Linked DNA regions of Caenorhabditis elegans. The protein of the gene in region 2 interacts with the protein of the main gene of each other region in a pairwise test. Each region holds a gene or a part of one and is shown on either strand. Other genes may lie near its edges. The genes, in order: gpb-1, egl-10 and gpb-2.

Evidence for each region.
Region 1: the proteins of egl-10 (region 2) and gpb-1 interact in a two-hybrid assay, tested with the Caenorhabditis elegans proteins (one study listed by BioGRID).
Region 3: the proteins of egl-10 (region 2) and gpb-2 interact in a two-hybrid assay, tested with the Caenorhabditis elegans proteins (one study listed by BioGRID).

What each region holds. Positions count from the first base shown.
Region 1 is NC_003280.10:11,742,232-11,749,232, reverse strand, and holds gpb-1 (Guanine nucleotide-binding protein subunit beta-1), read left to right. Parts: upstream 1-1,582; 5' UTR 1,583-1,585; coding exon 1,586-1,642; intron 1,643-2,172; exon of another isoform or gene 2,173-2,310; intron 2,311-3,089; coding exon 3,090-3,203; intron 3,204-3,251; coding exon 3,252-3,347; intron 3,348-3,434; coding exon 3,435-3,513; intron 3,514-3,662; coding exon 3,663-3,813; intron 3,814-4,550; coding exon 4,551-4,680; intron 4,681-4,730; coding exon 4,731-4,802; intron 4,803-4,853; coding exon 4,854-5,070; intron 5,071-5,147; coding exon 5,148-5,254; 3' UTR 5,255-6,422; downstream 6,423-7,001. Other genes in the region: Serine carboxypeptidase ctsa-1.2, read right to left, coding at 6,486-6,665.
Region 2 is NC_003283.11:12,456,755-12,464,807, forward strand, and holds the start of egl-10 (Regulator of G-protein signaling egl-10), read right to left. Parts: upstream 6,063-8,053; coding exon 6,043-6,062; intron 3,434-6,042; coding exon 3,228-3,433; intron 3,178-3,227; coding exon 3,019-3,177; intron 2,758-3,018; coding exon 2,616-2,757; intron 2,582-2,615; exon of another isoform or gene 2,443-2,581; intron 1,350-2,442; coding exon 948-1,349; intron 894-947; coding exon 741-893; intron 696-740; coding exon 561-695; intron 507-560; coding exon 188-506; intron 1-187.
Region 3 is NC_003279.8:7,317,753-7,323,016, reverse strand, and holds gpb-2 (Guanine nucleotide-binding protein subunit beta-2), read left to right. Parts: upstream 1-1,931; 5' UTR 1,932-2,068; coding exon 2,069-2,145; intron 2,146-2,192; coding exon 2,193-2,281; intron 2,282-2,829; coding exon 2,830-2,966; intron 2,967-3,061; coding exon 3,062-3,180; intron 3,181-3,412; coding exon 3,413-3,605; intron 3,606-3,648; coding exon 3,649-3,867; intron 3,868-4,159; coding exon 4,160-4,256; intron 4,257-4,358; coding exon 4,359-4,537; 3' UTR 4,538-4,727; downstream 4,728-5,264. Other genes in the region: F52A8.3 (uncharacterized protein), read left to right, coding at 102-259, 422-687; F52A8.1 (DUF2650 domain-containing protein), read right to left, coding at 4,968-5,057, 5,127-5,264. UniProt on the Caenorhabditis elegans protein: Guanine nucleotide-binding proteins (G proteins) are involved as a modulator or transducer in various transmembrane signaling systems.

The DNA.
Region 1 (7,001 bases), on a different chromosome or scaffold from region 2:
CCATTAATCTTCGATGGCAGTCTGGCTCGGTCAAAATTGGCCTATTTTTGTCTGAGAACTTTGTACAATTTTATTGGTTAAAAATGCTCGCACCACCTGCTGGAGGGCACCAGATGTCCCCTCGCCCAAAGCAATTAGAATTCTGCATTTAGCAAACAAAAGTTGAATCAATAATTCGCAGATCCAATGGTAGGAGAGAGAAAGAGTGAGCCGCGCCTTCTTCGCACAGATATATATTAGCTTTTGTCACGTTTTGCGCTCCTACCTGGGAGAGCCCAAGGTATTTGAACACGGAGAGCAATATGTTCCCTCAAAACTCAAATACCTGTGCCCCATCATTTCCTTCCTTAATTCCCTCATTTCATTCGACATTTGTGGTATTCAGTTTCTTTTCTTTCTTTTTTGTCATTGTTTTGTTCTTCCGCGCCACACACACACACACAGACCAACACTTTTACATTTTTTCCCGCCCGCTCCCCTTTTCCATCCCGCTTGGTCTGCGTCTCAAGGTTTGGTTTCTTTCTCGTACAGTGTTCCGCTCTCACGCCAGTTTCTGAATCGATCTATTGATTTTTTGAAAGTTAAAAATTTTGCTTAAAATTTCTGAAGCTTATGATTTTGGTTTGCAGACCGTCATTCTGTACTTCCTGATCAGCAGCTTGGTCTCACCGTCTTTGCCAAGTTGACGTCGGTCGAGGGGTTTTAATTAAAAGGGTTAGTGATATAGATTTCTTTCTAGTAGGTTTTTCATGTTTTGATCAAAAACATACCTTTAGTTTATTCTTATTTTATTATCTCACCTATAGGGATCCCTAGAGCTAATAATCTACTTCCAAAGTTCCTCTCTAAAGAATTAAATATTTTCCCGTCTAGTTATCGATTTTAGAATCGAACTATTTTATTAGATAAGTAAGACCAAAATGTGTTGTTTTTTCAAATATAGAATTCTGGAATCACTTATTTTTAAATTGAAAAAAATCCATTTTTTTCAAATTTTTGATTTTTACATAAATTACTTGATTACAATGAAACAATCAATAATTTTCTTCATTTTTTGATTGGTTTTCGCATTGAATATTCAATTTAAAACTTATTAATTAATTAATTAAATAAAAACAAAAAACATTGCGCGGCAATTAGCATGTGCTGGCCTACCGTAGTTTCTGCAAACACCGTGACGTCAATATGCACACTGTTGTTTTTCTTTGATTTTCTTTCCTTTTTTGACCTTTTTATCTTATTTTTTCTTATTTTCTCCACAGAAAATCTCTAAAAGCTTCGAAAACTTGAATTATTTTAACGATAAATTTAATTCCTTCATGAAAATAATCAAATTCTTGGAAAAAATCGATTTTTTCTGCTATTTCCTTCAAACTCTTTTTTTCTATCCAATAATTCTTAATTCACGCTTTTTTTTGCAGGCCCAGTTGTCGAGTGCAAGAACAAAGGCCACGAAGACGACGAATAGAGCAGCGCCGCCGTCGAAAACGCGAACACCGACCAGGAGCAGCATTAGCCGCAGCCGCATCCGTCGACACTTCCATCAGTACCATCCTCCGGAGCACGCACCACCACCAGCAGCAAGATGAGCGAACTTGACCAACTTCGACAGGAGGCTGAACAGCTGAAGTCGCAGATTCGGGTGAGTAAATCTGTGTTTTTTTTTATTTTTTAAAATATTTTTTAAACTAATAATTGCAGTAATCTCTCGTTCCAGAGCATGGTCTAGCAATTGTTTGAATATGCGAAATATGAGAAATACACGCATTTATATATTTATACACACACATATACACACATACATATACAAATTGTTGGTAATAAGTAAAGCGCTCCCCTTCCAACGATGCCGCCGCCGCCGCCATCGGCGTTGTTTTTGCGCCGTACTTGAGGGGACGTGCTGCTGCACTGGATGTGTATAACACGATGGTCGTCGTCCCCCAGCCGTCGTCGTCTTCTTTTCTTCTTCTTCTACCCGCCATCGCCGCTGCAAAATATCGATCAGTAGCAGAAGTTGTTGCTCCACACACGCAGGCCGCGGCGAGCCATTGGCCGAGATGGGGTCGCCCCTGGTGGGGGCACTGAGACGAGGAGAAGCTGGAGCAGCAGCAGAAGCAGCGAGCGAGCGAGGAGAATAGATTGGCTGCCTAATGTGAGATTGTCGGCGTCTCCGGCTCTTGTTCCACTATTTTCCCGGGGCCCCGCCGCCGAATGCTCTCAATTTCTGCCGCTACTGCTGGCCAAGAGCACGAGAGAGAGAGAGAGAGATCTCTCGCAGTCTCTCTTCTGCGCAAGCTCCACTCGTGTCGTAGTGCGCCATTCTCCCTTGAGGACTCTGCTGCCGTCGTCGTCGTCGTTGTCGTTGTCATCGCGTCGCTCACTAGAATTGGTGGTAGCTCCTGCTCCGACGAGCACTCACACACACACACATGGTTGTGCGTGTGCGCGAGCACAAAATGTTGCGCGGGGTTTGGTGAAGCTCTCGTGGTGCTGAAAACGGGGTGAGCTGGCCTGGAGCGAGGAGGGGCAGCAGAGATAGAAAATACACTGAATTGGTGTTAATTAAATGCACAAAACATTTATGGAAGTGGAAGATTTTTCGCTTCAAAAATACAGTCCCCGGTCTCGAAGCGACAAATTTTTGTGAAAAGATTACTGTAATTTCAAATTCGGGAATTTTCAGCAATTTTCCATATTATGTGGACGTCTAAAAATGAGAGGTTCTGATCCCCCATGTCGATTTACGGGGCACTATTGCATCATCTCAAACTGTCCATTTAATGTGTTTAATGTATGCAAAAATATGTAATAACAGCCCGTAAATCGACAATTCGTGGCGAGACTCATGTGGCAAAAAACCTCATATATATCCGTCTAGATAATAGTTTTTCTCTCGATTTTATAAAAATTTATGTTTTTTAGTTGAAAACTATGAAAAATCGATGAAAATTCCTAGAGTGGAAATTACAGTAATTTTTATAAAAATTTAAGGCCCGAATTTACAGATTTTGAAGTAAAAAGTTGTAAAAACCAATAATTTGAAGTTTTTCATAATTAAAAAAAAAACAAAATAAATTAATTTTTTGCAGGAAGCCCGGAAATCAGCAAATGACACAACACTGGCCACCGTCGCTTCAAATCTGGAGCCAATTGGCCGCATTCAGATGAGGACGAGACGTACGCTTAGGGGACATTTAGCCAAGGTAGGGCTTTCAGACTTTTTCTAGTCATAAAATCGATAAATTTTGCAGATTTATGCAATGCACTGGGCATCAGACAGTCGCAATTTGGTGTCAGCTTCACAAGACGGAAAGCTCATCGTTTGGGACTCGTACACCACAAATAAAGTGAGTTTTTTTTGACGATTTTCAATTGTTTTTTTTTTGATAAAAAAAGAAAAAATTTAAAGAAATTAATTTGCATTTTTTTTCCAGGTTCATGCAATTCCCTTGAGATCATCGTGGGTGATGACTTGTGCCTATGCTCCATCGGGATCGTTTGTCGCTTGTGGAGGTAAGCTGAAGGATTACTCATTGTATTCAAATTTTCCGGAGAGATTACTGGGAAATCTGGGTTTCTATTGAGAATTTGAATCTCGTAAATCTACACGAGCAAAATTCAAATTTTTTAAAATAAAAAGTAACAATTCTCAATTTTTCCAGGTCTCGACAACATTTGCTCAATTTACTCGCTGAAAACACGCGAGGGAAACGTGCGGGTGTCTCGTGAGCTTCCAGGACATACTGGATACTTGTCGTGTTGTCGATTCCTTGATGACAACCAAATTGTCACCTCTTCCGGAGATATGACTTGGTGGGTTTTTTTTTTGAAAAATTTCATTTTTTTTAATTAAAGAAAAATCCTATAAAAAATCATAAATTATCAACTAGTTTCTACTTTTCATTTTTTTTTTTCCGCGTAATTTGAGCATCAGTGTATAGCCAGAGCACACAAAAGTAGAAGAAGTGCGAAGGAGAAATTCGGATGTTGAATGTTGATGAGTTTGTTTTCAAACTGGGCTCTTTTTGTGCCGCTTGATGAAATTGAGGTGGAGAGAAGCAAAGAACGTGTGAATAAAAGACAGAAAGAGCACAAAAGTCGGCCCGCGAAAAATGTAAATTTTCGGACTTCAAAATTTTACAAGTCTATTGTTAAATTGTGATCTCTAGACGTGTAGTTTGTACTTTGAAAAGTTTAAAAAAATTCCAGTTTGAAAATGTAAGAAAGATTTCAGATAACTTCCAAAATTTATCTCGTGATTCTGCAAAATTTCAGATTTTTTAAAGCCACACGCTATTTTCCGATTGGGTCTCGCCACGAAAAAAAAAGAAGTTTGTAAAGTTTCAAATTCTAAAGTGCAAATTGCATTTTAGAGTTTAAAATTTCATTTTCTACACCAAATTAACAAATCTGAGAAATTTGGCGCCTGTAGCGGCCACTATGATCGTGGCGAGACCCACTTTTCAAACCGGCATGTGCCTTTAACCTCTACCATATCATATAATATCACTTTTTCGTAAATTATCCTAATTCTCCAATTTTTTTTCCAGCGCTCTATGGGACATTGAAACCGGACAACAGTGCACCGCGTTCACCGGTCACACTGGTGACGTCATGTCGCTTTCACTTTCTCCAGACTTCCGCACATTCATCTCAGGAGCCTGTGACGCTTCGGCGAAGGTATAGGATTTTTGAAAAGTTGATTTTTTTTTAAATTTTTTAAATTTCAGTTGTGGGATATCCGAGACGGCATGTGCAAGCAAACGTTCCCAGGACACGAGTCAGACATCAACGCTGTTGCCGTAAGTTTTATTATTTTGAAGATTTTTCAAAAAAAAATCAATTTTTTGCAGTTCTTCCCATCCGGAAACGCGTTCGCCACCGGATCCGACGATGCGACATGCCGATTGTTCGACATTCGTGCTGATCAGGAACTTGCCATGTATTCTCATGATAATATTATTTGCGGAATCACTAGTGTCGCATTCTCAAAATCGGGTCGCCTGTTGTTCGCCGGATACGACGACTTCAACTGCAATGTTTGGGATTCGATGCGACAGGAGAGAGCTGGTGAGTGCCTTTAGCTCCTTTTTTTGAAATTTTCCAAGTTGAAAGTGATGAAAAACTAATTGTTCTTCCAATTTCAGGAGTATTGGCTGGTCACGATAACCGAGTTTCTTGTCTAGGAGTCACCGAGGACGGTATGGCCGTGTGCACAGGATCATGGGACTCGTTCCTCAAGATCTGGAATTAAGAAACATCAAATGTCTTCCTTAATTATTCTCCAATTATTGATTGAATGATGATGACACTACGTGGCAATTTTTTTCCCCATTTTCCCCAATTTTTTTCCGCTCTTGAAACCCCCCTGTTGTTCTCATTCTTTCGTCGCTATCCGCTATCCCGGCGCCCTCTTCCGCGTGCCCGGATCTCTTTTTCTTCTCTCACCTCTTCTCATCGCTTTTTGTTCGGTACTTTCTAGTCTCTCTTCAATCGCCCTCCCCATATTACTTTCCTTGACGTTTGTTCGAATTTTCTCATCAATTTTTTTTACTATGTGAAAATTATTATTATAGCAATTCTCAACTCTCTCTCTCTCATTTATTTTTATTTCACATTTTCTGTGTCTCCCCGCCCCCCGCGAAGCTTAATCTTTCTTCCTCTTTCACCACTCACTTTAGTCACAGACACATACACATGCGCGCGCTCTCTTTCTCTCCCCGATCGTATTCTACTAACATGATATTCATGCTACGACAAAAAATTTTATATATATGTAAGACAAATTTGTGCTCGGCGAGCAAGATATACAGTGATGGAGCCACGCGCGCGGAGTACAATTTTGAAATCGAAAAGCGAACGCCACGCGCATCACTAATCCTAAAACCCCCACATCAAGAAAAGCACAATATGAGATCCATTCTAATTATTATTTCCTCCCGATATATAATTATTTAAGCTTCTTTTTTTCTCTATTTCTGGTATCATCTTCTCTCATTTCTCGTCTTCTACACTAATTTAATTGACTCCCCCCACAAATCTTCACCTCTTTTTTTTGTCTTCTATGTATCCCATCGATCCCTTTCCAGACCGTTTTCAACTTTTTCACACACACAAAACCCCCTAAGTTTTTTTTTCTAATTTCTTTTAATTCTCCTACCACCGTGATTTTGTAAGTTCTTCCGATCGCAAAATTAAAGATAAAAAAGTTCTCATTTATTCGGATAGCTGCCACTTCTTTTCCTCTCTTCTCCCCCTCAACCCCCCACATCTGTTTAATCCATCACAATTCTTGAAAAATGAACATCCCCCATCCCCCCATCTCTTCTTTTCCCCAAAACACCCAAAAAATCTTATTTCCCTTTTTATTCTTTTTTATTGTTTCAATTTCCAAATTCTTATAAATTGCTGGAACCTTATAACCTCTTGTGAGCTCAGTTTTTCAGACATTTATTTCAAAATTATTATCATTGTTCTCCTAACGATTAGAAGGCCTTGTTGAACAGGAACGATTGGATGATGTGCTCGGCGACGGCTGGCTTGTCGGTTGGTACCATGTGTCCGGCTCCGCGAACAGTGGCGAATGTCACCTGGGATCCCTTGTACTGTGTCACGTATCCACCGATTTGACCCTTCACAGTGAAGTGGGTCTTCTTCTTGGAGAGCTGGAAATTAAATTATGGAATTTTTACAAAACATTAAAAATCTTGGGTCTCGCAGCGATTGAGAGCTTATTGTTTAAAAATACGGTACCCGGTGTCTCGACACGACAATTTTTATGAATGCAAAACGATGTGCGCCTTTAAAGAGTAATATTTTCAAAAAAATAATTTTCGATGAAAAATCCGCAGCAACGGAAGTTTGAAACTACAGTACTCTTTAAAGGCGCACAGCTTCGCTCATTCAACAAAAATTTATCGTGTCGAGACCCGGCGCCGTATTGTTTGGAAAAACTTTGGGTCTGGATAATATATAGATATCTTTTTATTGAAAAAAGCAAA
Region 2 (8,053 bases):
TCATCCAAGTTTGGAACACCTTTTTAATCAAACTATTTTTTCTAATAATTCGAATATATTTTTCTATACTCTTGCTCCACATTTCAATGAAAAATATTGGAACGCCATGTCAAAAAAGTTCAATTGTAGATTTGCCGAAAATGATATTTTCCCATCCCCGAACTGCTCACTATAATGTAATACTCACCGCTGCTTCATCAAAACTCCACCGATTTGGATTCTTTAAATTGTCTTCGGTCACTTCCATCACTTTACAATCCACATTGACCGGCGACGTTGCCGCATTTGTATCGATAAACTCGTTGTAAATCTCTGTTACCATAACTGGAACCATTCTTGAACTGCACTTTCGCAGCTTTTGTACCTCCCACCAAAACCGCAAGTTTTCTCCAGAATATTCTTTGTCAAGGAATTTTTGAAGAGTTTCTCGACCTAATGAATCAGCAAGTAATTCTTCAAAACTATCCTCCCAAAGCTTGAGTCGGCGGGTTTGGATGTCTCCCGTACTGAAAATTTTTAGTTGAAACGTGACATTCGGCAAAAAAACTCTAGAAACTCACATTTTATCATGTTGCCAAAAATCAACAGTATCGTTAATCCATGGATTAGGCTGTGATTGAAAAGGATCAGCCTGAGATCCAGGAGGCGTTAACAGTGGATCAAATACTCGACGTTGTTCGTAATATGCCAAATAACTGAAAACAATATTGATCTTTTAAAAATAATCTATTAAAGCTTACTTTTCTACAACTTTAGATGTACGTAATACATTTTTTGATAATCGACTATTCAATTGCACAATTTCCAGTTTTAACGTATCCTGTACTTGTGTACACCGCCGTAATCCAGGTCTTGTGTAATAGTTATTTCGGAATGATCCTGCATTTATCGTTCTGAAAATTTTCAAATAAAGAATTTATATCTGAAAATTGAAAATTTTAACTTACGCAGTAATAGTTGTCACCGGAGGCGTTGATGTTGATGGTGCAGATGTTGTGGCAGTTCCAGCAGCAGCAGACGATGTTGATGGAGATTCACCCCCACTTGATGTTGATGGCTCCTGATCGTTCTTTCTTGGAGATGTTGCACTCCCATTTGATGTTGATGGAAGACTCGCATGAGCTGCTGCCACACTTTGTGAATACTGAGTGCAACCGATACCCGACGTTGAAGCGGCCAATGCTGCGTGTCCTCCACTACTGTACTTGGGCCTTCCAGACCGTGAAAGCTTCCGGAAGTCGACTTCTGTAGTGTTTACACATCCTGGCACTGGACGATGAACATCCCAGAAAGCACGTTCCTGACTGTCAAGAATTTGGCGCTCCTGGCGATCTCGCTTCTTGTCGACCCTGAGTGTCCTGGATTTATTGTTGCGTAGAATGCCTGATAAAACACGCGCAACGCTCACTAATTAGTATGGGCTAGAACTTGCAAGATCAAGAATAGATAAAGAAAGAAGTTTTGCAAGACAGTGGTTCTTTTTTTTTCAATTAAAATAAGTATAATGTTTGAGATTTGTTTCCTTCAATTCAAAATATGATTATTGTGAACCCACTTTTGTTCGTCAGTTGACGATCTTTTATTTTCTTTTTCATCTGGAGTCTTTTTAAAAAATAAATGACGAAGTCTTCGAAAACCACCCATCTTTGGGCAGGAGCAAAACACAATACTGATGGTCAGAAGATTAGAAGAATTTTAGGAATGTGGAGGAAGTTGTAGTAAAAGTACGGAGGAATGGAATGAGCTCCCGCCGATTTTTTGCATCTAATCCAAAGGGGAAAGCACGCCTTCTTCTTCTTCTGTTTTTTTCTTATTCTTCCTTACTCTCGATCTATCTACACCCCTTCTTTTACGTCTTCATCATCATTATTTCCGACTCCCGGCGCCGTCGATTTTTCCAATTTACTTGGATTGGCTCGGCGCCTCCATTCCATCACATTCACATCCATCTTCTTCTCTTCTCACCACCGTCCGACCGATTCTCAACAAAAGTGCTTTGCTCTTCTTCTCGAAAAAAACTCGAAAGATGAAAAATAAAACAGCAGGCCCTTTATTTGGGTGAAAATCGGTAATAGCGGAAGAAAGAGATAACGTCATCAGAAACTACACCCACATAAAATTTTAGTTTTTTCCCCGAAATGATGTGTTCAGAAAGGTTATGGAAATAGGTTGTTGATTGAGGTTTGGTTGATATCCCCAATCACTATCAGTTGTGACTTGAATGTTCAAAAAACGAGTAAATTTGATAAAACATGAATTTTGACATCTTTACCGGACTTTCTGCTGGTTCCGATTCACATATTGAAAAAGAAAACATACAATTTTTTAGAGGATTAAATCCCACTAATTTATATTTCATTGTTTTTGGAAAATGAACTTTTCTTCTCTCAAACCCTTTTTTGTCAAAAATTGATACGAGCCCACTGCCTTGCTCGTTTTCTTTCCCTTTTCCCCGTTCTTGACGTCATTCACGCATTCACACAATGTAAGTGGATGAGTTGGTGGAAACTGAGAAGCTATGCACTGCAAACTAGCACGAGCGCCCGAAAAGACGACGAACGAGAAAAAATATATACACGCGGAATGCAGCAAAGAGAGAAGAGAATATCACAAACTTGTATTGAGCTTCGGCTTGCATGAACACAAATTCCCACTTGCGCGAGAACATCTTCTGCAGCTTTGCCAGGTTCTCCGCTTCAAAGTCCTCCAGTTCCAAATGCGCTTTGTTCTGCATTGTCCGCTTGCACAGGTACACCGCTGAAAATATTTGCTTTTGCAAAATTTTGCTTTCTCAGCTTTCTCAGCAGTTTTCAGCATGGTTTGATTTTATGTTATTGAAAAACTTTAAAATTGTAGCTAAATGGATTCTATTAAACTAGTTTTCAAACTCTGAGTTTTCAATCACATGAGAATTGTCTAAAACTGCCCAACATCTCACAAAGATCCTGAAAATAATAGCAAATACTTTTCATGAACAAAACATGATACTAATTTCAGCTTCAAAAAATCAAGAATCACCGTAATCAGTATTTTCCGGATCCCAACAATTTGACGGCCAAAAGTATGGAGTTTGAAACCGATAGAATGTTCCATCGTTTTTAACCGTTAACACATGATCGTCAATTTGGAAAAGATAACCGTGTGACGCGATCAGATGAGCCAGATGAAGGGCATCCGCTGAAATTGATTTTTCTGATTCTCGATACAAAATATTTGCGGCAACTTACAAAGATCAGTCATCTCAAGATTTTTCATGATCCATCCAATCAGATCTTGTCCGGTGAATACAGATGGAACTTTTGACAGAAAACTCTTGACAGTCTTGATTGGAACACCAGCTTCTGCATCAAGCATTTGATTGACAAGCATCTCCATCTTACGGTACACCATGTGGTTTGGATGTACAAGACGCTCCTCGTTGCTTGCATTTACCCTGTAAACCCGTCACGTATTATTTGGAATCAATGTAAGGTTTTCCCTAGTTATGATACATCTCAAGTTTCAGTAATAATACAATGTTTCGTGTTTTATATGCATCAATTACTTTTGAGATGCACTTGGGAAGTGATGTCACTACTCAAAACGTCATAACATTTGCAAATATTTTTCATATATTTTTTTCAAAAAAATCCACTTCACTAAATTTGAATTTGACAGCTGTTTTCAGATGATTTCATGAAAAAAAATTGATATCGTCCAGGAATATAGTCATATGCACATTTTAAATTTCATATATGTATAGTTGTTTCCAAATGCTCCATTTTGGCAGCTTATTTAAAAAATGAAAAAAAAATCAGTTTGACTGGTAAATAATCAACATGGATTTGATTGAAGCTTTTAAGCTGTAGTTTTAGTAAGTGTGAAGCTATAAGTAACAATTTTTAAAAGGTGGAACATGATAAATGAAAAATAAGGATCAATGTTATCAAATTGAATTCTTTCCAACCAACCATCAAAAATATCTAACTATTTTCTATGGCGCACTTACATTTCGCAATGCATATCTTTTTCCCTATCCCTATTCCTATCTGAAGTTTTCCTTCTCGAAGAACATCAAAACATCTGCATTGGTTATGTAGTGAAAGGAAAAAACACAAAGAACAGAGAGAAAAAGCTTTCCCGAAAAAAAACCTCTAAAAAGCTGCGGGCAAGCTTGGCGGAAAGAATATACACACGGATGACAACAACAACAAGAAAACAGAAGAAAAAACGAAGAAAGAGAAGGATGAGGAACATAAAATATTACAGCCCTTCTCGTTTTCTCTGTTCTTTTTTGTTTGAACCCATGAAGGCACCCCATCTCCACTTCACGTGATTTTTAGTAGGACTTCTGGGACTTTTGGCAAGATGGAAAAACGCTCTACATTTTCAGAGTTTTCATGTTTTTTTTCTATTTTTCACGGAAGTTGTAGCTCTTGGTTCTGTCAATCATCACAAATTGGTTCTGACGCAACACTATGTCCATGTGAATATTTAAGAAAAATCACTGACTTACCAGTTGGAAAGTAGCATCTTTTCTTGAACACACTACGACAAAGCTTAGAAAATGAATGAAAATAAATCAGAAGACACAATGTCTTGGCCTCTTCTCACCCGCCCTTTACAGGATTTACAGAATTTTGTATTTCGTAAACCACAAAAAGAAAGCAAGATTAAAGCATTGGGCAGTAGCCTACAAAAATTTTCTTGGGCGTAGAAAAAGGCTAAGACTACGAGCTTTTCTCCACTAAATCGTATTCTCCAAACGTTTGTATGTAAATGAGAATTTGTGTTTAGTACTAGTGCCGGGCGACGGATGAACGACAAATTGGCTGAGTAGCATCCGCACAAAAAATGCTCTCGACGACCTAGCAACTGACATTGCAACATTGAAAGAAACAAAAAAAAAAGAACGAATTGCCTAAATTTTCGGTGATTTTCATATACATAGAAAACGAATAGATAAATAAAGAATATTCACGAATGAATGGAAATGAACTACGCAATAGTTTTTTAATGACAAAATTACCTCAACTAGAACCAATAAGCTTCAAAAGTAAATAGGGGACCTACAGTACTTTTAATCAAGGCAGCCAAAATATATGCATAGCTCGAGAAATTTCAATGATAAGTTCGTAATCCACATTTTTAAACATACTTTTTAGTGCAGATTTTCATTATTTTCCTCGTTGTTTTTTTTGGAAAGCTGGATGTGACTGCCAACAAATTAATGGCCGCAGGAAAATTTATTTTTTGCTGTTAAAAAATTTAAGAATAAATACTTTTCCATCAATCAAATAATTTAAGTCAATTTAGGTGGATTGTCAAATTTATTAAATATTTCAGACTTTTTGAAAAAAGCAACGTCGCATATTCCAGCCCCTACAGTGTGAAAATTTGAATTTGAAGCCTAATTAGAGCATTAAAACAATTTAAAGAAAAAAACTGAGTGATCGCTACTTTTTAACAGTAAATAAAAAAATTTAAAAGTGTTTGAAAAGTTTTCTAAAATAATATATTTTTCAAAAATTAGCAAAAAAACTTACTATTCAAAGCACGCAGCAGTATTACTACAATGATAACAGTTTGCATATAGTAACCCGGAAGTTTCAATTTTTCCAAATGTTTTTATTTTGCATATTAAAAAAATCATGAGACTCTACATTGTTCTATAGAACTTTTCACATCTCATTGAAATGCCTATCGATAGTTGAACATGGTGATAATCGAGATTAATTTTTTAACACTGAATAGTATTAAATTTGAATGGAGATGTATGAATATGAAGTAATGAGTTGCTTGTTCACAAGACCCAAAACCGTTCCAGTCAAATAAACTTTAAAAAAACTATTGCTCGAGATCATTTCACTCATTAGTTTACAGGAAATTTTGAAAGTACAAAAACTTTTTTATTACAACTTTTCAAAAAAAAAAAACCTCTTTGTATTTTTAGAATAAATAATTTGTTTGGGTACTAATCTTTAAACGTTTTTTGTTTGAAATATATAGAATTAAAAACATAATATATTTTGCTGTTTTTTTTGAAGATGAAGTGAATCTAACCTCAATCTTGGTAGAGCCATTGTGAAGCTTTAGTCTTCAAGACTTTTGTGAATACTCTTCCAAGTTTATACTTCTTAGGATCGTCGTCGTTGGCTCTCACTTTGACACAAGGGAATGTCCCGTTATCTTCTACTCCTTCATTCCTCGCAGAATCCGTGTTACCGTGGGTGCGGTTCGGGTGCAAAAGAAACGAGGTGTTGAGCCACAAAAGTCTGCAAAGATGAGTTGAGCATATATGAATTGTATGTCGTACAAAAGAGCAAAAAGAGCATGAAAATATTAAGATGAGAAGGCAGTATAAGAAAAAGAATAAGGAAAAGAAAACGACAAGGAAAAGGAGACGCGCACATCACGTATAGGGCCCAGAGTGAGCGTGATGGTGAGTGAGCGTGTGAGTGAGAGTCGAGAGAGTGCGAGTGTGCCAATGAAAAAATAGAGAGAGAGAGAGAGAGAGAGAGAGAGAGAGAGAGAGAGAGAGAGAGAGAGAGAGAGAGAGAGAGAGAGAGAGAGAGAGAGAGAGAGAGAGAGAGAGAGAGAGAGAGAGAGAGAGAGAGAGAGAGAGAGAGAGAGAGAGAGAGAGAGAGAGAGAGAGAGAGAGAGAGAGAGAGAGAGAGAGAGAGAGAGAGACAAAAAGAAAGAAAGAAAAAGAGAAGAAGTAGAAAGAGGATGAAATTCGAGACACGAATCGAATACATATACACATTGAAAAAGAGAGAAAGAGAAAAGGGTAAAATGAATTGAAAAAGAGCTGGAAATAAGCTGATGAATGGTATAAGAAAGATGATAAGCGGATGAATTTCCACTAATTACAGGACTGCATACTGATAATTCGCATTGCATTATGTGAATATCTTTGTTAGGAAACGAATAATCAAGAAATGTATGCAGTTAAAATCGTAAAATATATTTTTTAAAGTCTAACTTCTAAGTTCTTCAAACCTCAAATGTTTAGAACATCGAGAAAATTGTATTTTTCTCACTAAGAAGTATTTTTTAAAGATCTGTTTCATAATATAAAATATAATTCCAGTGCATTGTAAGATCAAAAGGAAAACTAGAAAATATTGAAAAGAACTCATCTGAAATTCTATAACTATATCATAAAGACAAAGGAGGGAGTTTCAACGAAAAAAACCGATCAGAAAAAAAGAAATTTCCTAGACTTCACTGAACTTTAATTTTTGGTGCACAAACTGATTTAAGTGTTCAAAATTATAAGGATTTTTATATTTTAAAGAAAGATGATTTTCAAAACCAAAGAAGCATACCGAGAAATGTGCATGAAAACTTGAAATGAGAGGCTTGTGACATGGCAAACTATTTATTTGATTCGAACAAAAAGTGATAAAATAGCGATACCGTAGTCGTTGGTAAAAGTTTAATTAAAGTGGATTCGTATTTCTAGACAGAAAAGAATAGAAATGTAAAGAAAAAAGATAATGAGATTAAAAAGAAGCTTTCGTTCTTTGATTTATTTGTGGATTTATTCCTGGATTTGCTAGATGACGAACTAGGTTTATAAACAAATCTATGACATGGAATATTTAGTTTGATGATGTATGAAAAGTACGTTTATATTACAAGATTTTACAATTACAACTCATTTTCGTTGGTGAAGTCAAAAAAAACGGATCGGGGAATATCTCATGGTATACCTAGTTCTTTTAAAAAATTTTCATGCTTTATCTTACTCTAGTTTTAATGTTGATTAAGGAAATAGAAAACTGCGTTTTTCAGGTTTGATGAAAAATAGATACTGTATCTCTTCTATTAATATTGCACCCCACTACATCACTCTGAAAGTTTTAATTGTGGCTCATTTAATAAAAATGCAAATACAAAAACAATTGAAAATGAAATAAAACATATTTTTCAGTTAACAATTTTTTAATAAAACAAACAACAGCTGAGATATAAGCTGCCAAACTTGAGAAATTGTGTGTAGTACTATTAGAAAAAATACTGTCGAGACTACGGAAGCAACATATTATATATTCGATGGCGTTTCTAT
Region 3 (5,264 bases), on a different chromosome or scaffold from region 2:
TTGATCATGGAAGCCTTCGTTCATGTTGATTCCATTGCAATTCATAATTTCTAAGCATAACGAGCAATTGGTACGTATCACTGTAGGGGTTCTTGTTGCAGTGACGATTTTTGGTATGCCGGAAGGATTATTGGTATAATTGTTGGAATATGCCTATTGCTCTTTTGTTGTTGCTTACCATGTGTGTGTATTGCTGGAATTTGGTTCGCTGGATGGTTTGGGCTCAGAGGAAAAAATCAAAGAAAGAATACTCAACAAGGTATTTCAACTTGTCAATTTTAATTTTTCCAGTGGATATATTCTAGACAAAATTGCATTTCAGTTCAATCAAATTTCTTGAATTTCATAGATTTGAGACATTTCTAACTGCTTCACATACAAACTAAAAAATTCAGTAAAAATAGCCAATATTTCAGTTTAGTCTCATCTCCTATCATTGCCCAATCTGCTCCTGTTCCAATTCCTGTCAATTATGATAATATTCCTGGTAATGCTAATTATATTCAACACACTCGTCAAGCTCCACGTCAAATCCACGTGGACTCATCACCAAGAGATTCTGAAATATCTCGTGTCATGGTTCCTGGTGATCAGGTCATGTTCTCTGCTGAAGATCGTTATTATACCTCGTCGACGGCTCCGGCAACTGCTCACCGACCTGATGCCTACAATGTTTCTCGATATTAATTTTTCTGTCTTTCACTTTTTCTGCTTGTATATTACGCTTGAATAAATATTTTGAGTCTTAAAATTATTGGCACTGAAACTACCGGTGTACAAGAAGTGTCTTACAGCTACAGCTAGTCTAGATTTCTGGTTTTAGTGGGGAATTTATTTAAACCACTTCTATAGTGATAACATTGTTAATTATCAATATCATAGTAAAGCTTTTCAGAAAAAAGTTGAATATGTTTATGCGCTGTCGAAAAGTGGTAAATTCTCATTTTCACACATCATAACTCTGCAAGTAGACAGAAAAATATGTTTTATACGAGTTTCCTATTTTTCTTATGCCTTTTTTTATTATAATATTGTAGGTTTTAGAGCATTCCACAATGCTATTCCCTGCGAAGGATAAAGTTGCAAAAATTTGACAATTTTCCATAACTTATTTTTTCAAAAAACCTAAAACGATTGTGGGACTTTTTAAACTGGTTTTACTCAACTTTTAAGCTAACCTAGCACTTTTTTATAATTAATTTCACTTCACAAAAACCATCAAGACATGTGCATTGCCTAATTTTAACTCATCCCGTTCTTCGAGCCACTCTCTTTTCCACATCTCTTCCGTCTCTTTTCATCTTTTTCCCAGAAACCGCGACGCGACCGCATTGCATTCTCTTTCCATTGCAAAAAGGACCGCTCGGCAAAACGAGAAAAGAAATAGAGAAAATAGTGAAGAGGGAGAAGCGAGACATAGCGGAGTAAGGCACGCAAATAGAATTCATTGCACCATGATTTCGGGCCCTCGACGGCTTTTTGTCGTGGCGAATATAGTTTTGTCTTAATCAATACCATCAAATTTATGATAATTTAATGATAATGTAGCCACATCCATCCTATTTTTGAGCATGTTCAACAGAATAACTTTGCAAAAAAGGCTTTTACTTTTATTTTTTATAAACGTTACTTATAAAATGTGTGAAACTCCGATCATTGCAAAACCTTAGGCAAATATAAATTAATAGTAATGGTAGTACGATATTTTGAATTACCTTATCAACATGTTTTTGGTTTAAAATCAAATTCTTTTTACATTGTGCTCGTTTCAATTGTGCCAAACTGTTGTCTAATTTGTTGTTTCAAATAAAAAATTAAAATCCAAAATCATGTAAATGATCTTGATCTTCCTATATATTTCTTACATTTCTAGGCATGTCCTTTAAGAATTTGGCTACTTCAAACTTATTTTTTTAATAGCAATGTTTCAGGAAAAATGTGCCTCTAAACCTCAAACAAACCGCCCATCTCTAATTGTTCTATTCAAATTCATTTTCTTCAACCCTCAGTCTTCTCTTCCTTTTTTTGCATAATTCGTCTTCTGATCTCAAAAAGAAACGCAATTTGAATGAGCACCATTGCTGGAGAATCGTCTTCCTCGTCGAAAATGCCAGAAAACTCTCAGCCAACAACAACCGAAAAAGGGTATTTGTACATTTTACATTACAAAGGGTTACACTACATTATTTCAGATCGGAATATTTAGAACAATTGGCAAATGAAGCCGAAGAGCTTAGAAAGAAATTGGATCAAGAGAGGCACAAGCTTAATGACATTCCTAGTAAGTATTTGAAAAAAATTAAAAAGATAATTTATTAGAATACTTCAATTTAAAAAGAGGGACTTTGAAGAAGAACACTACTAAAAAATTGAACTTTACAATTCCTAGGTTAGAAATCCTCCGGAGTCTTTTTTCTTTGTTTTTTTATTGAAAAAATAAACTTTTGAATTAAAAGCTCACAATCAGTGAGGATATTGAATAAAAATATCAATGCGGTTCTTCATAACCGAATATTATAATTGCCCAAATATCAATACACACCAAAAATTACGTCTAAGTTTTGGTAAATTGTCAAATCTAGGTGAAGTTGGACTTTTTGAGAACTTGTTTGACTGAAAAAAGTTGAAAAAAGTTTTTGAAAACTTTAAAGAAATTTGAGTTAAATAATTTGATGAACAAAAAGATACCAGATATGCTTTGTGATATTTGCATAATTCTAAATGTTTTCTCTTTGACTTTTTTGAGGTTATGCCTAATTTACTATTACCAAGAACTACAGTAATCCCAAAACGCACTAAGTAGTTTTTTACATCCTAAGTAATTTTCAGTTCAACAAGCAGCCGAACGACTTGACGTTATGGGAGCTCTTGGTGTAAAACAGCGTCGAATTTTAAAAGGACACGTGGGAAAAGTATTATGCATGGATTGGTCATTGGATAAAAGACATATCGTCTCTTCATCTCAGGTTGGTTTAAAATATGACTTACAAAAGATTCAGTAGTCTTCAAAAATTGAAACCTCGATTTCTAAAATGAATTTGCTCAAATTAGTAAATTTTAGGACGGGAAAGTGATTGTATGGGATGGATTTACTACGAATAAGGAACATGCTCTTACGATGCCAACAACTTGGGTTATGGCATGTGCATTCTCTCCATCGAGTCAAATGATCGCTTGCGGGTAAGATTTCTTTCAAATACTTCAAAGCTTTCAAAAAATACAAACGGTAGTACACGGACTTATAGTGTTCATGAGAATTTATTGTTTTTTTTTTCAAATTATAAAAGAGCTCTTACAGACGGAATTTTCAAAAATTGGCTCATGTATACTTTACCAATTTTGAAGCTTTCATGTTATTAATTAAAAATTTTTATTATTATTTTTTGAATTTTCAAAAATTCCAATTTTACAGAGGACTTGATAATAAATGCAGTGTCGTTCCACTTTCTTTTGAAGATGATATAATTCAAAAGAAAAGACAAGTAGCAACTCATACTTCTTATATGTCATGTTGTACATTCCTTCGTTCGGATAATCTTATTTTAACTGGAAGTGGAGATTCAACATGTGCTATTTGGGATGTTGAAAGTGGACAACTTATTCAGGTTTTTTATTCTCGCGAATCGGAAACCCAATTCAAAAATTCAGAATTTCCATGGTCATACTGGTGATGTATTTGCAATCGATGTTCCAAAATGTGATACTGGAAATACATTTATTTCCGCAGGAGCTGACAAACATTCTCTTGTATGGGATATTCGTTCAGGACAATGTGTACAATCATTTGAAGGACATGAAGCTGATATTAATACTGTTCGATTTCATCCAAATGGTGATGCATTTGCAACTGGATCTGATGATGCTACTGTAAGTCACAAGTGTTTAAACTTCTTCATTATTGAAAATTGGAGAAGGGATGGGAAATTATGGAAGCCTTGCACGACCATGTGTCGAATTACGCAGCTAGTGTACTCCTCGAGAAGAAGTGACAATATGCCCACTTCTCCTCGGGGAGTACACGAGCTGCGTAAATCGACACATGGCCGTGCAAGAGAATCTTAATTAAATTTCACGGTTATTCTTCCATTTTTCGAAAATTATAGTTTGGGAGAAAGTCGCGAGAGTTGCTTGTTTTGTCTGAAAATATTACTTTTTCCAGTGTCGCTTATTCGATCTTCGAGCAGATCGTCAAGTATGTGTGTATGAAAAAGAATCAATCTTGTTCCCCGTAAATGGAGTCGATTTCAGTTTGAGCGGTACGTTTAAATCTTCACAAAAACGTATAGTCCAAATCAATTCAATGCATCTCTGAAATTCACAGAACTAAACTTTTCACTCTAACTATTAAAAAATTACAGGTCGTATTCTATTTGCTGGTTATGGTGATTATCGTGTCGGTGTATGGGATTCGCTGAAATGCGCCCGTCATTCAGTACTTTATGGACATGAGAATCGTATTAGTTGCCTCCGAACTTCTCCTGATGGAACAGCCGTCTGCTCGGCGAGCTGGGATTGCACAATTCGCATTTGGGCTTGATTATTTAATATTAATTTTTCTCTTACAATTTTTGAGCTTTATGTCACTTTACTCATCCCCCTTCCCACCAGTCTCTATCCCTGTACTATTATCTAACCATCCCACTATTTTCTCCTATCTCAACTTTCTAGTCACAAATACTGTAAAGTACTCGTTCATTGCTGAATGATGTAAATAGAATTCACTAAATACACCTGTTAAAATACAATTCAAAAAGGCAAGGGTGAACTGTGAGGAAAGGAAAATTACATAACAAAAAAGAAAGAAGTGTGGAAAGTAGAGTATTCAATGAGCAACGTATGGCAAATTATCAGAGAATATTAAAAGGAAGAAATTCAGTGAATTGGTTATAAAGAGAAAAGTGGAAATTTTGATAAAACTGTTGCCCCGAAGATTTGATGAAGAAATGTGAAAATTATAAGTCAAATACTTATGCGCAGCAGAAGCATCTGACGCAGTTGATGATGATCGAGAGAATCGTGCAGACGGCAAGGAAGAGAAGAAGAACAGTAACCCAATCCTGAAAGAAACAAATTTAGAAATTAACATATTTAAATTTCAGCAGATCTTTTGAAAAATGAATTATTACCTGAAGACGGAAGCAACACTGATCAGCAATCTGTCCGCAGCACTTGAAGTACCAGAAAACGTTCTCTTCTGGGCAAGCTTGTCCGACAACTGGAAGTGGGCATGCCAATGGACTCCTTCTGATCGTGAGTGGCTCAAT